Linked DNA regions of Drosophila melanogaster. The protein of the gene in region 1 interacts with the protein of each later gene in a pairwise test. Each region holds a gene or a part of one and is shown on either strand. Other genes may lie near its edges. The genes, in order: CG17162, CG9106, SNF4Agamma and Golgin84.

The links.
Region 2: the proteins of CG17162 (region 1) and CG9106 interact in a two-hybrid assay, tested with the Drosophila melanogaster proteins (one large-scale study listed by BioGRID).
Region 3: the proteins of CG17162 (region 1) and SNF4Agamma interact in a two-hybrid assay, tested with the Drosophila melanogaster proteins (one large-scale study listed by BioGRID).
Region 4: the proteins of CG17162 (region 1) and Golgin84 interact in a two-hybrid assay, tested with the Drosophila melanogaster proteins (one large-scale study listed by BioGRID).

The regions. Positions count from the first base shown.
Region 1 is NC_004354.4:23,093,548-23,099,149, reverse strand, and holds the start of CG17162 (uncharacterized protein), read left to right. Parts: upstream 1-2,415; 5' UTR 2,416-2,717; intron 2,718-5,540; exon of another isoform or gene 5,541-5,602. Other genes in the region: su(f) (suppressor of forked), read right to left, coding at 137-536, 595-870, 1,035-1,357, 1,419-1,454.
Region 2 is NC_004354.4:15,270,135-15,274,547, forward strand, and holds CG9106 (uncharacterized protein), read right to left. Parts: upstream 2,272-4,413; 5' UTR 1,853-2,271; intron 1,781-1,852; 5' UTR 1,697-1,780; coding exon 1,265-1,696; 3' UTR 902-1,264; downstream 1-901.
Region 3 is NT_033777.3:21,154,452-21,159,639, reverse strand, and holds the start of SNF4Agamma (SNF4/AMP-activated protein kinase gamma subunit), read right to left. Parts: upstream 3,279-5,188; 5' UTR 3,229-3,278; intron 2,203-3,228; exon of another isoform or gene 2,144-2,202; 5' UTR 1,983-2,143; intron 403-1,982; exon of another isoform or gene 251-402; coding exon of another isoform or gene 1-250. Other genes in the region: cDIP (common Dpr-interacting protein), read left to right, coding at 1-250.
Region 4 is NT_033777.3:24,355,200-24,359,930, reverse strand, and holds Golgin84 (Golgin-84), read left to right. Parts: upstream 1-1,992; 5' UTR 1,993-2,054; coding exon 2,055-3,390; intron 3,391-3,445; coding exon 3,446-3,660; 3' UTR 3,661-3,861; downstream 3,862-4,731. Other genes in the region: CG18528 (uncharacterized protein), read left to right, coding at 1-53, 372-677, 734-1,720; CG6454 (uncharacterized protein), read right to left, coding at 4,153-4,215, 4,278-4,550, 4,607-4,731. UniProt on the Drosophila melanogaster protein: May be involved in maintaining Golgi structure and in intra-Golgi transport.

The DNA.
Region 1 (5,602 bases):
CGCGTGCGGCCTGGCCAGGGGCAACGGGGCAAGCCACGGAAAGCCATCTGTGTTGTGCCACTGCGTGCTCCTTTACCCGAGGGGCGACACTTCTTAGCAAACAAGAGACTATATTTGATTCGTTTTTGGTTTTGACCTTTGCCCACCACCAAGCAAAGGCCATAACCCACTCTATTTGATTCACTACAGGAACGCAGAGAATAGGTGAAATGTTTTCAACACTAGTACGCACGCCTTTTTCGGTGAGCACGCGAGCACTGGTGTCCAGGAATTGGGAGGCCTGGTGCCACACTGCCGGGTGGTGGGTGAGCACCAGCAAACATTGCTCCGTGGCGAACATGACACGACGGGTTACTAGGGCCGTATCTTCAGTGCGCAAGGGATTAGACTTCTCATACGTGATAAAGCGCTTCCACAGCTCCACTTGCTTCACCTCCTCTTTTGTGAGTGTGGGTGGGACGGCTGGCAGATTGCGATTGAGACCCTTTGTGTGGTATTCCAACTCTTTGGCAACACGACGAGCGTTCATGTAATCCCTGGTTTTAAGTTGGAATTTAGAAAGAACATTTAGCAAACTCTGCGTATAACACTCACTTAGATCGCTCCAGACTCATCTTCTCTGATATAATCGGGTTTATGTTTTGCTCGAATGCGATATAGTCCTTCCACAACTGCTCGATGCCCACGATAGGTGTGACTACAGCCTTTTGATAGACGCGGCGCACTGCTGTGATCTTTTGGTTCTCTGCATAGTTGCCCACTGCTTCAACGCCCCGCAGAAAGTATATGTAATCCTGCCAGATGCTGAACGAGTGTAGATCCATGCCGATTTTCTCCAGTGCAAAATCATAAGCCTGGGCCATTTTTTCTCTGAGAAAAGAGATAAGTCCAATAAAATAAGCGTGTCAGAATAACACAAATGTTGTGCATCAAAAAAAACAATATGCTCGCTGCATTGCAAGTTTTGACTAAAATTATAATAGTTTCTAAGATGTCAAATTATGTGAATTATTTAAATAAGGTATAACAGTTACTTGTGAGTACTTAGACCCGACTTGGTTTCCTTCACGTAGGTAAGATAGAGCTTCCAGAGGTCGATGTTCAAAATCTTGACTAGGCAGCGTTGAAAAAGTTTCTCCACGCGTTCATAGTACCGGCTGCGCATCTCCATCTCAATGTATAGCTTCCAGTACCGAGCGGTTGTCGGAAACACATTAACTAGCGACTCGTAAAGACTGCGTACTTCGTGGATTGGCCGCGTTTGGGCCTCTCGGATCATGACACTCCAGGACTCGATGTCATAGGGCCGCAGCTCCACCACTTGCTGAGCTCGCACCAGGCGCTCCATGCCCCATTCCTTGTCATCGATAAGTAAAAATATGTTGTTACCATCCAAATAAAGCCAATGTTTTACTTACTATGTCGACTTTGATAAGGTCTCTGGCCGAAGACATTGCTAATAGTCTTTGCAAATTGTCGTTGAGTCCTGCTTGCGCTGCTCCTTGGCCCGGGAAAGTTCCTTTCTTCCGTTGAACTTTCGCTACGCAATTACCTAAAGCAACGCTTGGATGCCGCTTTTCCGAATTCTTTTAGAAGTTGCAATGCGGCTGCTTAGATATCGACGACTGATTGGATGTAACTGCGATAGTGTCATCGCCAATCACATCGCGGGCCTTACCATTAAAATCCCAAGATTTGGGATGTGTAGTACAGCGGTCACTGATTATAAACTATAAATAAAAAAGATATATGGTTTTAACATACTTTAAAGGTACTAAATCTGTAAATAATGAATTCAAGCAGAAGCAATATTTTTTATAGCTTGTTTCCACTGAAACATTTTTCTGTACGTTGCTAAGGTGAAGGTTGTTAACAGATACTTTGAACCGTTTAAGTTCTATGTAATAGTAAGTAAAAGAGGTAATATTTAATAAAAAGGCATTTTTAGGAAGCCTGGAATTGTATGCCTAGTAGCGTAACTAGGTACGAATTTTTCCTGATTACCCTATAACATTATACATTAAAACAATATAACATAATATGAGGTAAAGGTATTCTTGGTATTGTGGTATTCGAACAAACATAACTATGAAAACACACGAAAACATTATAATTTAAGTCAATGGATTGTTCTTAAATGTTTTAGACACGAGTCCAAGTGATAACAAAATTCAACAAGGTTAACGGAACTTATTTTTTGCTATAAGAAATAGAAAGTGAAACGCACCTTTCTTCAGCAACTGTAGTGTTAAATTGTTTTAAGAATTTACTTACAGAGAAATGTTTTATTGAAATTTAATTTTTTCTTTTGTTGTTTCTTTTTCATGTTGAGGGTTCAACATTCCCACAATTTAACAGTTTAAGGAATACCCAGAATCTAACCCTAGAAATAGATTGGTATATTTATCGATATTAATTCAGTACCAGTATGCGGTCACATTGGGTAAGTGTCAAAAAAGTTTTAAAACAAACGCTAAACAATCAGGAGTGGCAATCAAACGAAACCAAGCGCATTTATTAGCCGAGAGATAATTCGAGTTAAATTCGCAACTAGTATTAGTATCATTCATTGAAACCGATTTATTAAACTGCCAAGGTAGACAAGACACACACACATGTGCGTGTTTCCGGAGAGCATCACAATCATTGCAGACCTAGAGGCCAACAGCTGTTGTTGATGTCCTAGCGGTATATTTACGGTTTATAGACTTCGACAAGTTAGTGAAATTATTACCGTTCCTGGGTCACTCTCCCTTACCTAATACCTCTGTGGGTGTGTGTGCTAAGGCGCAATAAGTGTGTCACACTGACGCGGTTTTGTGTTTCAAAGTAGAACAAACACTGTGTGTGTGTATCCCTCACATATGCATTAGCTTTGTCTCTGTTATATTGGCCAATGTTTATTCCTGCATACCAGAAATAAATAAACAAAGAAATCATTCTCTAAGCTGTGTTGCAAGCACAAAAAAAATTTTGTCTGCAACGATAAGTTTTTCCCTTGATACAAATATTTATATATCTTTTGAGCCATAGCGTTTTTTCATTCTGCAAAATTAGTTTTATTCAATGTGGTTTGTATTATGTGTTTTTGACTATCAAAACTATCAAAAAATCGTGTATTAAGGGGACTTTATACCGTAAAAATGTATGTTGTCTTACTAAAATATTTTTGTTATAAAAACTTAACTTTCAAAAGGGATTTAAAGCGAATGCAACAAAACTCATTCATGAAATATACCTTATTTTGTAGCTTATTTAATTCTTGTTTAGATAGTTGTAATTAAAAAGTGCATTCTTTGCGATTTTCGGAGAAATTATAGTTTTTAGGTCCTTACCCTACTTGTTCAAATGCAGAGTAATTTTAGCTAAAAGGGAGTTAAAAATGCCTGTTGGTGAATTGATTCATTAATTTGTTATTATGTTTGTGTTTACTTTTTTGTAAAATAATTCAATATGCAACCACTACCACGAAATCAGTTGTTCTTTGCTTGGACTAGAAAAAGCATACGAAATTAGGGAAATACCTATACAAAATTAGTTAATTAAATATAAGAGGCGGTGCCACGGCCACAATTTTTGGTATCATAAAAGATAATGGCAAAAAAATTTAAATATCTTTATCCGTTCTAGAGTTACAAACTACAACAAATATAAGGGGCGGTTTCAGAACGGATATATTGTAACCCAATCTGAATATCTTTCAACGTCCTGGAGTTATTCATTTTGGGCAGAAAAAGTGGTAAAATTTCACATAGTGGTACGTGGGCAAGTTTTGAAATATTCGCACACCCTAACGACGGCAAACCGCCCAAAAGGTTCACACCCACACTTTTGTGAAATGTTATAATTATTTTTCATTGCATTTTTTGATTTTTTGCTACTTTGTATCGCTTTGCCAAAATACCTCCACCATCTCATTCGAACGCCAACCAAATTTTTTAAATATGTTTAGACTTTTTTATTTGGTTATTATACCCGTTACTCGTAGAGTAACGTAGATTCGTTTAAAGGAATGTAACACGCAGAAGGAAGCGTTTCCGACTGTATAACGGATCAATAGCCGAGTCGATATAGCCATGTCCGTCTGTCCGTATGAACGTCGAGATCTCAGGAACTATAAAAGCTGGAAGGCGGAGATTTAGCATGCAGATTCTAGAGACAAAGACGCAGCGCAAGTTTGTTGATCCATGTTGCAACGCCCACAAGCCCACGAAAAAATGCCACAAGCACTCTTTTGAAAAATATATTGATATTTTTTCACATCTTTATTAGTCTTGTAAATTCCGATCGATGTGCAAAAAAAAACTGTTTGCCACACCCACTGTGACGCCCTTAAGCCGACAAACCGGTCACGCCCCACTTTTGAAAATTGTTGAAATTTTTTCTCATTTTATTCCCCAACATCTTTTGGTATCGCAGAAAAATATCTGGGTTAACGGGTATCTGATATTCAGGCAACTCGACTATAGCATTCTCTCTTGTTATTCTAAACAATTTTATGGATATGACAATCAAGTTTCAAAGTTTCTCCCTCGTTCTCCCCTTAGTTGAGTGGCGCTAGTGGAGAAAATCTATAGCGGTTCCTTTTGTTATTTTAACTTTTTTCCTAAACTAATTTTCCATAACAGAGATAAATTAGTTGGAAATTGTCAATATATTTCTAAATTAATTTGCTTTCTTTAAATATCAATTTATTTAATAGATAGAAAATTCATTTCGTCCTGTCTGTGTTACCAAAATATTTAGAACACTTAACAAAAATTCATATAACGTTCTGTTATATGAATTGCTGTTTGATTAACGAATGATTAAAACGTTTAAAACGTTACGTTTCGAAAATCAGAAAAAAGGAAAGAAATGCATACATTATCTTAACTTCAAAGCTTTTAAAGTTTTCGAGGTGACAGCCCCCTTACGGACAGACAGACTTTACCATATCAATTCGGCTAGTGATCCTAATCAGGAATATTGTACATATATATGTATATGTATACCGCATTAAAAGAGCATACAAAAAATTTCTGAATTCTACGACATCGAAATACAAAATACAAAGATAAAAAATACTTGTAGAGTAAAAGGGTATAGTTGATTCGTTGGAAAGTATGTAACAGGTAGAATAAAGCGTTTATAGCTTCAGTTTCAGGAACTATAAAAGCTAGAATGTTGAGATTAACCATTACCACTCTAACGCCCACAAACCGCCCAAAACTAAAAAAATTTGTTTCATGGTTTTATAAGTCTTGTACATATCTACCAATTCGCAAAAAAAAATTTTGGCACGCACACTCTACCGCCCACAAACCACCCAAAACTGTCACGCCTACATTGGAATAATTTTTAAATTAGTTTCCATTTTATTATTTTGGTTTCCAATTTCTGCCGATATTCTAAAAGACATATTGAAATATGTCGTTCCACCTGAGTAACGATAGCTGGGGAACTCGACTATCGCATTCTCTATTGTTTATAACTCATTTTATGGAAATTATAATGATAATCGTCATCAGAAATTTGTTCTGATTTTTTCCTGTTACCGTCGGTTAACTCAACTTGTTTTTGTTTGTTAGTTTATCGGGCCAAAAACCGATTCGTTCAAGCT
Region 2 (4,413 bases), 7.8 Mb from region 1:
CTGACCCACCGCATTTTCCGCTTTTCCACCGATTCCCGCCGCCAGCGAATGGCATTAGAAAAATGAAGCGTCGTGCCGCAAAAGACAAGTTGGTCGTCGTCGTTGCCTCGCTCGACTTGCTTGGCATTTTTGTGTTGCGTGCTTTTGGGCGCGTAATTAGATAAGCAGCCAGCCTGGATATGGGTCCTGTTTATCCATGCCCCAGCTCCTTGCCGTGTCCTGGCACGGTGTCACCAGCCAGCCAGCCAGCCAACTGAACAACCAACAAGCCGCTGACAGATGGAGCGTCATAAAAGCGGCAACAACAATGCGCCGCAGAATGTCTGAGGTTAGGAATAGCGGCAAAGTGGTGGGGCGGAAATGGGAAATGGAAAAGCCGAGACAAGACCAACCAACCAACCAACCAACCAACCGACCGACCGACCAAGCGAGCGAAAAGGGAGTGTAAAGCGGTGACGGGGATTTGAATTTGTCACGTGGCCGGCAAACGCACCTGGGCACAAAGGGGCGGACAAGGACACAACATGCAATTATACGCAATCAACATAAATCATTCAAATTGCCACGCACACACACACACTCGCAGAAGAGGGAAAAATAATGGTAAAGAAAAGTCGAGACGCACTTCAAAAGGGGGCGGCTGTCGGTGTGGGCGTGGTGACCGTTGACGTTGGCTTTTGGCTAATTTGCAATTGAAATGCCCAAATTCTGTGGGCTGGCCGCATTACGCATACGCCGTGTGGTGTCTGCGTGGCAAAGGCTCCTTAAACTTCCGCTCAGTCCATTCATCTTCCACCCCCGCATTCCGAGTCGACTGACAAATGCCACAGGGGCACGTGAAGCGGCCAGTGACCAAGGTAAATGGCACCCATACTGTCCATAGAGATTTCTTTATAAATTTCCTTTATTTTATTATTATTTTTTTTTATTTTTTGCAATTAATTACGGAATAACCTTGCAGATTCGTATACTATTTCTAGTAATTGCTGCCTTCGGAAAAATCACTTAACGCCAGGAACTTAAAATTTAGAGCAGGGAATGTAGCAAGAAAAAACAATCGACGTTATATTGCCAATGCCACGTATTTGGCGAATACTGAATTCCTAGATTTTGCCAACAGTGCCAAAGTTCAAATGACAGTTGCCATGGTCCAGCTTATAAACCGTACAAGCCAAACGGAGCTAATCAAGAATCCATCAAAACCATCGTCCATGTGCGGTACACTGCAATCGCTTCAACGAAGAATCTGGTTTATGCATCACCATCAGTCGAACAGAACGTCCATCGGTATGCCATAAATCTCGGCCAGCTGCAGTTTGGTGTAGGCAACAACGCCGCTGGGACAGTAGGCCATCGCCTCCTCCAGAGTGACCCACTTGGAGCTTGACTCACCGGCACATACCACATGCAGATAGACGATACCATCGAACATCTCATGGCTGATGATGCCCATCAGGTTGCTGGGGGTGCCGCTACTGACGTTTCCGGCGGTGTTGCCACTACCGTTACCATCACCGTTACCGTTACCGTTTCCGCTTCCGCTTCCGTTTCCGCCAATGATGTTGCCGCTCTGGCTCCCAGCGCTGCTCATTCCATCGCCGTTGCCACCGTCGCTGCCGCCACCGCTGCCGCCACCCACGCTGCTACCGCTGGCATTGGCGTTCGAAGAGGTGGACGGATTCAGATTGATGACCATCCTGGAAGGGCAGCGGTTCGGGATATCTATGAGGCAAATATCGAATGCAGCCAATTAACTGAGTGTATTTATAATTATTTGGATCTAGTAAGCCGAAAAGTATTTCTTATATATATTTAACAACAATACTTATATTATAAGTGATAATTAACTCACCTGAATATAAAACTATCAAAAGTGGAAAAGAAATCGGATTGGAAGCAGTTATCAAAGTGGCTCAATACTGAAGCTTCGTTGCTGGTTGCTACCTTTGGCCTTCTGGACGGGATGGTCCGTGGTTGGATTCTCGGTTAGTCCTTCGGAAACCGTAAACTTTGAACTTTGAACCTACGAATTTTGTACTTTGCTCGGTGCGATCCAATGAGACTCTGGTGCAGTGATGTGCTGCTTAGGGATCTGTTATACACTTCTCGACGTTCAAGTCGCACGCGATTCTAGTGCAACTCTCTAATTAGCTAGATACAATACCAAGTTATGATTTTTGTTTCGCTGTTTGATTCTTTTTTTTTTCGATTTTCCTCTATTTTTTTTCACTTTTGTTTAAACGGTGTGTGTGTATTTTGTGTCGATTGTGTGTGTTGACTACCTAGATGATTTTAACTTATGAAATGAGCCATGACATTAATCTGGCATTCTTTTCAAAGCCAGCTGGTACATTTTGTTTCGACGATGAAATGAGAGACACAAATATCGCGAATATTCAAGATTTTGGTAAATTAATAATTCTTATGGCTATTTCATTAATTCATGACACTGCACATTCTAAGTTAGACTTTAAAGTAAGTGCAGTAAGTGTACTATTTAAGTGCAAAAAGGCAAACAAAGTTTTCAAGGATTTTTTTTTTTAGTGTTTTCCTCAGAAAATCCCCATACCATTCACAATTTTTTGACATCGCCCGGCAACACGGGTGTTTATGAATGTGCCATATAATGTTTTGCTTCTGCCAGCAGCACCAAATGAACTGAACAAATAAAACTTTCACGGCAAAGTTGTTGACACGGCAGCCTCCTCCTCTTCCGATTTGCAGCTGCAATTCCTCACCTTCATGTTCACGCTTAGCTCTTTATTTACGATTGCAGGTGCAATGCGGGAAAAGTGCAGGAAAAGTATGGGAAAAGTGTGGGAAAAGTGTGGGAAAAGTGCGGGTGTGGGCGAGAGGAAAAGCAAAGTAAAAGCACCAGAGCTGAGTTTAAGTCGCGGGAGCAGGGGTCCCAAAGCAATTAAATCGCATTCGCCGTGTGGAAAGCAAATAGGATTCCGGGTGGGGCTTTGAATGTGGAGTCCGGACAGAGACAAACAATCAAACGGAAATTAATTGCGGTATGTGTGAAAAGTGAAAGCCAAAAGCTGTTCGGTAAATGATTGTCGAGCAGCGAGTTTTACCCCGGTTTCCCCACGACGACTTTAATTCTTAAACCCTGATTGATAGCTAACCTCGTCCTGGAGCAATGACTTCTGCTCTCCAGCTCTTCAGAATCGAAATGAAACCAAGATAGTATGCTGACATCCGAAAAGAAGTAAATTTTTACCACTGCATAGCCACACAAAGCGAAAACTTTTACACAGCAACCATGTAATAAAATAAGTCTTCAGAATTCGATGGGTAATCTTTTCAGCTGCTTTTTGGTCATTCAATATATGCTTTTCGTATTTAGAGGCATTTTGCTTACTCATTGAACTTATGTATGTGAAACACAGCAATTTTCCACACTTGTGTCATGGCATTGCCAAAAAGCGATAAGGGCGAAGGGTCGAAGTTTAATTAATACACCATTACGTGCTGTTTTTGGCCAACAATGGGTGGGTAAGCTTACCATTCGTTTTGAGATGCGTTGCAGCCCAATTTTGTCAACGTGGCCATAGCTGTATCCACATCCGGATCCGGTTCACAATGAGACGACGACTCATTGGACCGGCAGTGAGTTATATCAAAGACACTAGAATAACAAGATGCGTAACGGCCATACATTGGTTTGGCACTATGCAGCCACTTTTTTGGTGACGGCCAAAATTACTCTCTTTCCGCTCACTCCCGCTGAGAGCGTAAGAAACCTAAAAATATAATTTGCTTGCTTGTGTGAGTAAAAACAAGAGACGAGAACGCGTATAAGTGTGCGTGTTGTGCTAGAAGACGATTTTCGGGCCGAAATCAATTCTGATCGAAGAAACGAATTTACATGGTACATATTAGGGTAGTTTTTGCCAATTTCCTAGCAATATGATAAAATAAAAAAATTTTTTAAAATTCGCGCCCTGACTATTATAATTTTAAAGCTTTTTAAATTTGTTTGTTAAAATTGCCGCTCGAATTAGCTACCGTTTACACATTTATATTTATGTTTAATTCTAATTTTTCTCTCATCTGACAATTTTTTAAAAGCTAAATATTTTTTTTGAAACACTTTTAATGTTAATGTTACATCATATTAAGTCAAATGATTTAATAAATATACTAAATAATTAAATATGCAATTAAATGAAATTGCAAAAGTAATATCAAAGACAATAGAATTATTCTAGTGTCTTTGCTTTGTTCATATCTTGAGGCACGAAGTGCGGACACAAGCACTCAACAATCATTACCTTATTAATTTTTCACACGCCGCAAGATGAATACTCTAATGACAAATATTCTTATATAAAGTCATTTTTGAAATTTATTTTTGTGATAATATGTACATAGATTTGAGTATTTCTAATCTATTTTCAAATAATA
Region 3 (5,188 bases), on another chromosome or scaffold:
GCCCGAAAAAGAGGGTGTGGACTCCTCCTCCTCTTCGGAAATCTCCGCCAGCGTAGAGTCCTCGCCCATAACAAGTAGTTCTGATCCCAGCGAGGTGGACAAACTGCGCGATGAACTGAAAGCAGTGGTGCAGCACTTTGATTCCAAGTTCGATTTGATATTCAGTAAACTGGCCCAATTGAATGAACAAATTCAGGCCTTTGAAGTGCTCAACAAAACTGTTTGGAGTCAAGTGACCTTGTCCGTTTGAAGTTGTTAAATATGGCCCATTTTTTATGTGATCACTACATTTTCAAAGCTTTACAATTATATGTATACATTATAATTAATATTTGAAGTATTTCCTAAAGCTTCTTAATTTTAAACATAAAATCTTTCGATCCAATAAATAAATCATTTTTTAAATTGTTGGAAGAATTCCACTAAAGAATTCGCGTGTATGTTTTTTTTACCAGTTCTTGATAATATACAAAGTTGGAACCATAATCTAACAAAACAGGAAGGCTTTTCGTCTTTGTTTAAGATTTAGTTTCCTAGAATATCATTTTTTTCTACGCCTATTCAATTCCTAATCTCGAAAACAATTTCTGCTCCATTTCCCTGCTGATTTTGCATACTCAACCCCAAAAAACCAATACAATTTGCAACATGAGCACATCTAGTAAATATTTATTGCTCGCTGTGTCGTATACGTAGAATAATATTTAAACAATAATATTGATTTTCGAGCAAAGCAAAGTTGGGTTCTTTTTCTGAAAGATATTGAAAGAGGTTCGTTCAACTCGGGCTGGCGAACCAAAATGGAAAAACGAGAAGAAAACTGGAGGGCGAAGACAAGATGGTGGGGCTCGGGGAACTTGAGTTGAATTGAACAAAGTCAAGTCAATTACAAAACCAATATTTTCGGAAACTAAACAACAATATTGAATTCGATCGAATGGACCAGAAACCGAGTTATTTTATTGCCATCTGCTAATGCGAACAGTTTTAATTATTTATGCTTTATCCCTTCTATTCGCTTACTCGCACATTTATGGCTAACTAATTGCTAAGATAAACAAACAGTTTCGATTTCAGTGCAGCCACTTCGTAAGGACGGAAAGTAGAAACAAATCCAATTTCACGGATCTCGACGATCACTGGTCGATCTGCTGATCCGGAGTATCGTGTGCATGTGATTAGGAATAAATCCATACATACATATGTATATCCATTCGAACACGAGTTTCAAATACGTTTTGTTTACATTGGCAGTGCAATTTTTGTTTTAAGGTAATTGGCGGCACACAAATCGTGGCAGCTGTAAGTGCGAACATTCAATTTTACCATATAGTGCGACTGACTATCTGCGACTTCTAGTAGTTGTATCCGCAGATCAAAGTTCGACATTTCCTGATTGCCAACTTCAGTAGCTATCTTTTTTTAATTTCTGGGCATTCGCTTGAAGTGTGCTTACTTAATTAGTCAATGTCTAAAATGTAGTAGGCATCGTGATAGGGTACTTTTACATTTAAAGAAATCCACTCACGATTTTATAACCATAACTTCAAATGAGTTTCGACAAAAAAAAGTCGTATGAAGAATTCAGGTAAGACCCTTTGAATTGTTTTATGTTATTATATTTTACATTGCCTGATTTAATACTGTTATTCCTGTTATTGATACTGTTATACACTATCTATTACATAATTGATCGCTTTTATTAAATGTTTTCTAAATATAAAAAAATTTAATAAAATTGTTTACACATTCTGAAAATCTAATTATGAAAAAATTTTGGGCGATTTTGGGTATTTTCCCAGCGTCGCCGCGAACTGGGGGAATTTCCCACCCACTCAACTTAGTCACCGACACAAAAGGCAGATGAAAAGTTTCGGGGAAAATCAAACGTCAAGCGCTCATATCAACACAAAAAGAAAATAAAGGCAGTGAAGTAAATCAGGTTTTCGATAATTATAAAAAGAAAATAAATTGTCACCCACCTTTTGTGTGTTTTTATCAGTAATTGGATGTTTCTGATTCGCGCTGGCAGATTGCAGAATCACAATTGTCGAATTTCGGTTAAAAAATTAATTTCACGGACACAGGAACGCATACACACATCCGCACATTCACGTACACACTAACACACATTCACGTTCACCTGAACGGGTGGAAAACAAAACTTTTGTAAACAATTTCGCGATTAGGCATTTAGCTGCGCTAAGAAATTATTGTAAATAAGAAGAGACGTAACGAATTAGCTGGTTGTGTTGGCGCATTATATGTTATATATATGTTATGAGTGTATATTCAGAGATTAGAGCGAAATTATAATGACGACTTTTCGCTGGATGTCCAAACACTTTCGAGGTGTTGACTTTTCAGATTAGATTACAGCACTCATTTCACTCGGCTAATTATCAGCCATTTGGTTCAACACCAAATAAATCACAAAACACGAAAACACCAGCAACAACAACCGAATCGATCTTAATAAAAGCAAAGAATGCGAGCCATAAAAATCAAGAATCAAAATGAAAATTTATTCGGGCGCGCGCTTCCACTTTGGACTCGACTTTCCAATTGGAACACGCAGTGATCGGACAATGGAAGGGGTGAGAAGAAGAAGAGGAGCAGCAGGACGTTGTTGTGTTTGCCACTTTTTATTAAGAATCTAAACCATTACTGCGCGAAACACAGCTAGAAACTGACACAAGGAACAAAAACAGAAGAATAGCAAATCTGGGCAAATAAAAGTATTTGTCCGTGGAAAATTTCCAAAACGTTTCTGTCGCTCTTTCCAGCGACGCCATGTGTTTGTTTGTATGCGTAACAGCTGATCGCCGATTATTGATTTTTTATAGGGATGTACATATGCACACATGTGTGTGTATGCATGGGCAGGAAAAGTGATTAGAGGCTATTGTTTTGTGTAACAAGAAAGAAGTTTCACAATTCACTTGCGCACTCAAAAGAACAAAGATCGATTGTCCGTTGTTGCCGTTGTTGTCACTGCAATTTCTGCAATCCATTCGCGCACAATTAAAAGCTGTTCACGCAGCTTATCACAGAAGAATTTTATGGCTAAGCCACCCACTGGCGCGGACATGCTATCCTGACACCATGCCGGAATTTTCTCTCAATTAAATTATTTATTATAAATTAGTAAGAATTTAAGAACATTTAATTTGCTTTGTTTTTCACTGCACTCCCGTTTTTTAACGCGAATTAAAAGTTTTTCCCAACCTCGTAATCCGCTGCGTTTTCACCAAGCAAAGTTCGCAACCTAACTCACGATTGTGGTCATCGTTATCGTTTGCGAAATCCAGCAGAAAAGGTCTTACTCTTCGCCTATCGTTATCGCTAGAGATCTTTTTACAATCCAGTTGGAATTAGCGTGACCACAACTGTAACGTTGTTTTAGTATTTTTCTATAACTCGTTGTTTGCAATTTTACTGAAATATGTGCATTTAAATAGTAAATTCTTAAGTGCCCACTCGCGTAAGTAAATACGCACATATATCTACTTATTTATTCAATAAACAAGAATCATTGAGAATTCTTTAGTTGCGTAGAAGTTATTTTAAATAAAATGCGCTTTGCTACTTTCCGGCGGCGGTCACACTTAAAAAACAACGCGTTGCCAGATCGGACCGTGTTCGCAATAGCAATCAGTTTTTGTCATGCACCGCCGCTTTAGGCGCCAAAATGATATAAGTTTGAATTGCAAAAATTGCTCCGCTCTGTAAATCACGCCGAACATACAAAATAGAAAACATTTTAGCTATAAAAAAAACTTTAGCTTTTATAAAAAAAGCTATAAAAGCTATAAAAAAAACTTTAGCTAGCTTTAGCTAAAAAAAATTAAACTTATGTACATAAGCATATTCCTATTTCCATCATAGTGCTGGAAATTAGATTTTATGCCCCATAAATAATCATAACCAGTTGCCTTGGCATGCCTTTCACACTTTCGGAGCCCACCCAAACTCTTTGAAACTTCAGCTAAGCCAACAAAAATCAATAAAAATGGCGCATTGCACAGAGGCCACCGAGGAGCACACAATGACGCCACCAGAAACAGCAAAATACTTGAAATCGGAGTCGATGAATTTGCCACCATTCACGAACTTCATTTAGACCATTCCAAATAGGTCCAAGGACGCAATAAATACATTTGAAGTACTCTCGAAAATAAGTTTCCTCGATGCTCAGGGTTTTTTGCTAGCTCGATCAATCAATCCCAGCCGAGGAACTGGGAACACTCACCTGCTCGATGTCGAAGTCCCATTCGGGCGATGGAGAACGCGCTGTTCGGCCGCCCGGCGGAGGCGTTCCCAATGCGGGGGAACCGGCTTGGGGCTCTTCGGGAATCACGGCGAAGCGACCCCGCTGGAGGATTGGCGAAATGGCGCCATAATTAGCTGCAAAGGCGAAAGAAGGGGTCAGTATTCAGCACCATGCATTTATTATCGAGAATTTGACCAAAAGATATCAATTACTATTAGCATAACTGTAATGATTAATGTCGTATACTTTATATAAACTCAAATTGTAAAGGCGAAAAAGTACCAAATCAACTTACACGTGGGCATGAGACGAAAGCGGCCGAGCGTCGTTTCGGGCGGGCCCTGTGGCGTGGAGGAGGTGACACGGAAGCGTCCTCGGCGGGCGGCGGCCACGTCCTCGTAGTTGCTGCCCCCCGACGCTCCGCCGGCACTGCTCTGCATCCTGTGGCTGATGCTTCCTTGTCGGCCTCGCCGAAAACTGCAATGGAGTGTGAGAAAAATCAAATCAATATTGCGCACAGGTGGCAAAGTTCTTGTTTCCTTTGACTAAAACAACTGAAACTCAATTAAGCCAATGGCATTAGAGTATATTGATCTTTGATGGAACTATATAAAACATTTTCCGTAAATTCTCTAATATAAAAAACTTAGCAAAACTTAGATATAAAGACGCTTTTATGAACACTAAAATTAACCAATCAAAACAATTAAAACAAATGGTCATTGATTTATATATCTTGCATTATACATACCTAATTTTATATAGACTTTACTTGAACGAATTTTAACTAATAGTTTCAACTCAACTACAGCTAACATTTCCTAACATTACTAATACGCCACGTTGGCTCTATGGAATGACTTTAGTTCAACGCTGTTGGTTTTTTTGGCTTGGTAATCCGAGTTTCGCCCCACT
Region 4 (4,731 bases), on another chromosome or scaffold:
AAACAAAGAAGGCCCTCCGAGCAATTGTTGCAAACAAAGAATACGAGCCAAAGGCAAGTCAATCGATATAAACGTTTATTATTCCATATATGAGGGGTCGTGACCTGTGCAGTGTATAGTTTTGTTTTCTAGTATCCAAAATATATGTATGCAAATGAAAAGACCTGTTGCTTATTTATATACATTTTGGGAGATGTATCCTGTATAAAAATAAACAAATTTCTCCTAACTTACATATAATTGACTAAATAAATTGAATAATTTCGTGAACTGCTTAATTTGTTATAATTGGCAAGCTGCCAGGTTTTAAGACGAGAGACCTCTATGATAGTGAAACTTATAGTTCCCTTTATAAATACTTTTCCATATAGGCTCGTCAGGCGTATCTGAAATCCTTCTACCATCCCGCCAGCAAAGAGATGATTGACCGTGGGCTCTTACTTTGGTTTCCGGGACCGGCTTCTTTCACTGGCGAGGATTCCTGCGAGTTTCAGGTACACGGGTCCCTGGCAGTCATTGCGGCCATGTTGGATGCTCTGGGAAAAGTGGATGGATTGCGGCCGGCGGAGCCGGGAGAGTTCACAAAGAGAGCGTTCTTTGGTGGCAAACTGGATTTGACAGAGGTGGAGGGATTGGCCGATCTTATCCATGCTGAAACGGAGGCGCAAAGAAAGCAGGTAGACAGTGGACTTAGGGTCTCATAAATTTTGTTTCAAGTCTCTTCTTTCTCCAGGCACTGCTACAAAGCACTGGAGCACTGGCTCGACTCTACGACAACTGGCGCCGTCGACTTATTCGCTGTGCTGCCCATTTGGAGGCCTACATAGACTTCGCCGAAGAGGAGCAAATCGAAGGCGGCATCATCCTGCAACTCGGCAAAGAACTAAAGGCGGTAAAGCGTGAGATTCGCGAGCATTTGAGTGACCAGCGGCAGGGAGAGCTCCTCCGCGACGGAGTCCGCACTGTGATCATTGGAGCACCCAATGTTGGCAAGAGTAGTCTGCTCAATCTCCTCTGCCAGCGATCCGTGTCCATAGTGACGGATCAGGCGGGCACCACAAGGGATATTATAGAAACAATGCACAATTTCGGAGGATACCCGGTGGTATTTTCCGACACAGCCGGATTACGCCGATATACTACGGATAGTATAGAGCAGGAGGGAATGCAGAGAGCCAAGAATTGTCTAGTCCAATCTGATTTGATATTGCTCCTAGCAGAAGCCAAGAACATTGCACAGCTGACGCACGACGACGCAGTTGCTCCGTTTGTAGATAGCTATCTGGGCGAGTTGGATATACCTCTGGACATGTGCTCAGGGAAACGTCTGCAATTGGTGGCCAATAAAACCGACACTTTGACGGATGAGGAGCATCAGCAGCTGGACAAGCTGTCCAACGTGTTAGCCATATCATGCCATAAGCCCGATAAGATGCCCGTGTTTCTGGGATCACTGGAGAAGCAGCTGCAAGAACTGTGCGGAGAACCGCGGGCGGAGAATCCACGCATCACAAACACACGCTACCGTCAGCAACTGGAGCGCTGCATTGAGAACATTGATATTTTTCTACGAGATTACAGACCCGACGTTTACCCGGACATGGCCATAGCCGCCTCCAAGCTGCGCAACTCCGTGCGCTGCATCGAACGCATCACCGGACACATCAGCTGCGAAGATATACTCGACGTGGTCTTCAAGGACTTTTGCATTGGAAAGTGAAGAGATAGTTTATAGTTGTGAGTTGCGAAGATTACACTGCCCATGTTGAGTATTGAATAAAATATTCATTTGTACCCTAGAGTTTTGATAAGCATAATAAATTAACATTTCTGCACGGATAAGAAAGATTGGAATTACATTTATTTCTAAAACCAATCCTTACATTTTCATATAAATATTTTTTTGATCAGAAAAAAGGTTTTTCAAAATTACGTTACTTTTAGAGTGACCTTAACTTTGGAGTTGACCATTCCGCAGTCGATAGCGATATGGGCACACAGTGTGATATTGTTTACGTGTTTTACTCGAAGAGATTTGTTTTTCTTAGAAAAATATGTCATCCTGGATCACAGGACTGGCGGACAAGGCCGAAAACATTTTGAACAAGCTGGACCAAAATGCGGCAACGGCCCTGCAGACAGAGAACGCCACAGGTTCAGCGGATCCCATGCGTAGGAGCATGACGAGCAGCACCCAATCACTGTCCACATCCCTGAAGTCCACTCTGTCGCCAGTGCGGCGCTCGGGGGCCAATAGCTCATCAAGTGTAAAAAGCGATGGCGGGGTCTCCGTGGTCACTAAGGACATGCGCCAAAAGATGACCACGTCGGCCAGTTTCTCCAACAGTCCCGACATATCCGCCAACTCAATGGACACAAATGAATTGGCTGCCTTCAAGATCGCCCTGAATGAAATCACGGCCGAAAGAGATGAACTGCGTCTGCGCTTGGAAGATCTTAATAACGAAACCGAAAAGTTTGATCTGCATCAACACACCCAGGTGCTGGAAGCTCTGGTTAAAAGTCTGTCCGAAGAGCGGGACAAGGCGGTTCATGACTACAATGAGGCCCAGGCAGCTAACATGGCGTATGTGCACTCCATCTCCGAACTGGAAACCAATCTGGCCAAGTTGCAGCAGGAATACATAAGCGCCGCTCACAAATTGCAAATGCAAACAAAGGAAACGGAGCAGCAGCGCCAGGAGCTTCAGGAATACCGTATCAAGGCTCAGCGAGCTCTGCAAGCAAAGGATTCCCTCATCGCAGAGTTGAAGGCGAAGCCCACGGAGGAGGGCGCAGATCCAAACCTGGTGTCCAAGGACAGTGAAACGCGTTTTCTGCAAATTGAACACGAGTCACTTAAGCAAGAACTAGAGCATGCCAACGAGGAACTGCAAAAGGCGCGCTTGCAGCTGGACGATTACGTTTCCCAGGAAAGACAACGACAGGTGGAACTAAGCTCTGCCCGCCAACGCGAGGAAACACTAGCAAAGGAGTTGCGACAGGCAAGGGAACACAGTGTGACCTCCGAATCCGATCAGCGAGTGCTCACGCAGGAACTGGCCTCACTGCGGCAGCAACTTAGTAACCAAATGGCTGCTGCCGCCACTCGACTCCAGGAGCGGGAGCAGCAGCTTCAGCAGATGCGTCAGCGATTGAGCGAGGAAGCCAACACGGGAGCCAAGAGCGATTACGAGACTCGGCTAAAGGCTTTAACCCAATCACTGGTCGAACGTCAAAGTCTTCTGGAAAGAGTTACGAGTGAGAGAAATGCCCTGCGACTACAGCACGAAAAGGCACAGACGCAGCTACAGCAAAACATGCACTTGGTGGAAATGGAGAGCCAAAGGGGCAGCTCCCGCCATACTATGCTCAACAGCACAGATGATGGTAAGTCTAACATTCTGCGAGTACCAGAAATTACATAAATATGAGTTCTACCTAGTCAAAGCACAATTCCCGCTTCTCATGCATCCAAGTCCATTCGATAATCGTGTGGCACGACGCTTCAAGCGAGCCCTTCGCCAGGCGGACTCCATGGGTATTCGGGTGGGAACGTTTCTGCGTCGCTATCCCATGATGCGGGTCTCTGTGATCGTCTACGTGGCCCTACTACATCTGTGGGTCATGTTTGTGCTGCTCTCCACTACACCAAACTAATCGAATCAAATACATTTAGTTGAGCAATTGTTGTATTTCCATAATATTGTATGTATTGTATTTTACGCGCCAAAATTGGATATCTAGTGGTACGAGTATATGTGTCATGTTTGTGGTTGCAACAATTGTATATATCGATATTATACTTGTGTCTCGCACTCGTTCTAAATTCAATATTCAATAAACATCAACTATGTACAGAAATTGCAATTGATTTAACGCTAAAAACATCCAGCAAACAAGTAACAAGACCGAAAAAATTAGCACTACTAAGTTAGGATTAGAACGATTCCTCACAGTTCAAATATTGCATAAAGAATCCATCTACAGATGCTGTAAAATTGTTAAGTAAACGTGAATTAGTTTAACTTCAGTTTAACTCCAGTTGCTGGGCAGAGCTGATAGTTCTAGCTAAGCGGAAGAAAATAGAGAGTATACGCTTTTGGGACGATTCGCGTAAAACATGCGCTATATGCCCCGCAAGTTTTTATATCAGTCATCGGCATGGTAGCTCACATAGACAGCATCGCCTCCGATGCTAATCAGGCACTGGCCCTAAGAATACAAGATTTCAGTATAAAAACTTTAAGGTAAGTAGATCATTGTGTTTGCCTTACCTGATTCTTGTGCTGATTATCGAACAACATAAGTTCGGTGATGTAAAAAGAGACCATGGCATTTCCGCCCAGCGAAGCGATGTGTGCTCTCACCACAGCCAACAGTTCGGTAATGAAGCCATGGACAAATCCGCTGATGCCACCATTTTCCCGGATCGACGTGCTCTCCCGAATAAAGAAAAAGTTTAGGTTGCCCAAATATTTATCTATACGACCACCAGGTATGAAACTTAGTGGCGTCACATCCACTCCATAACGATCTCGCAGCGGAAACTGTCAAGGAAATATAATATTAATATAAAGACATCATTAATATTTAATGTTCTTACATAACGGCTACGTTGAACAGATCCAACGTTCAATGGCTTAACTCCGGTTGAAGGCAATCCCGAAACGAGATTGTTAAGACGTGATGGTGAAGTTTTTCGCATTTTGAATGAGCTCATTCCGAATG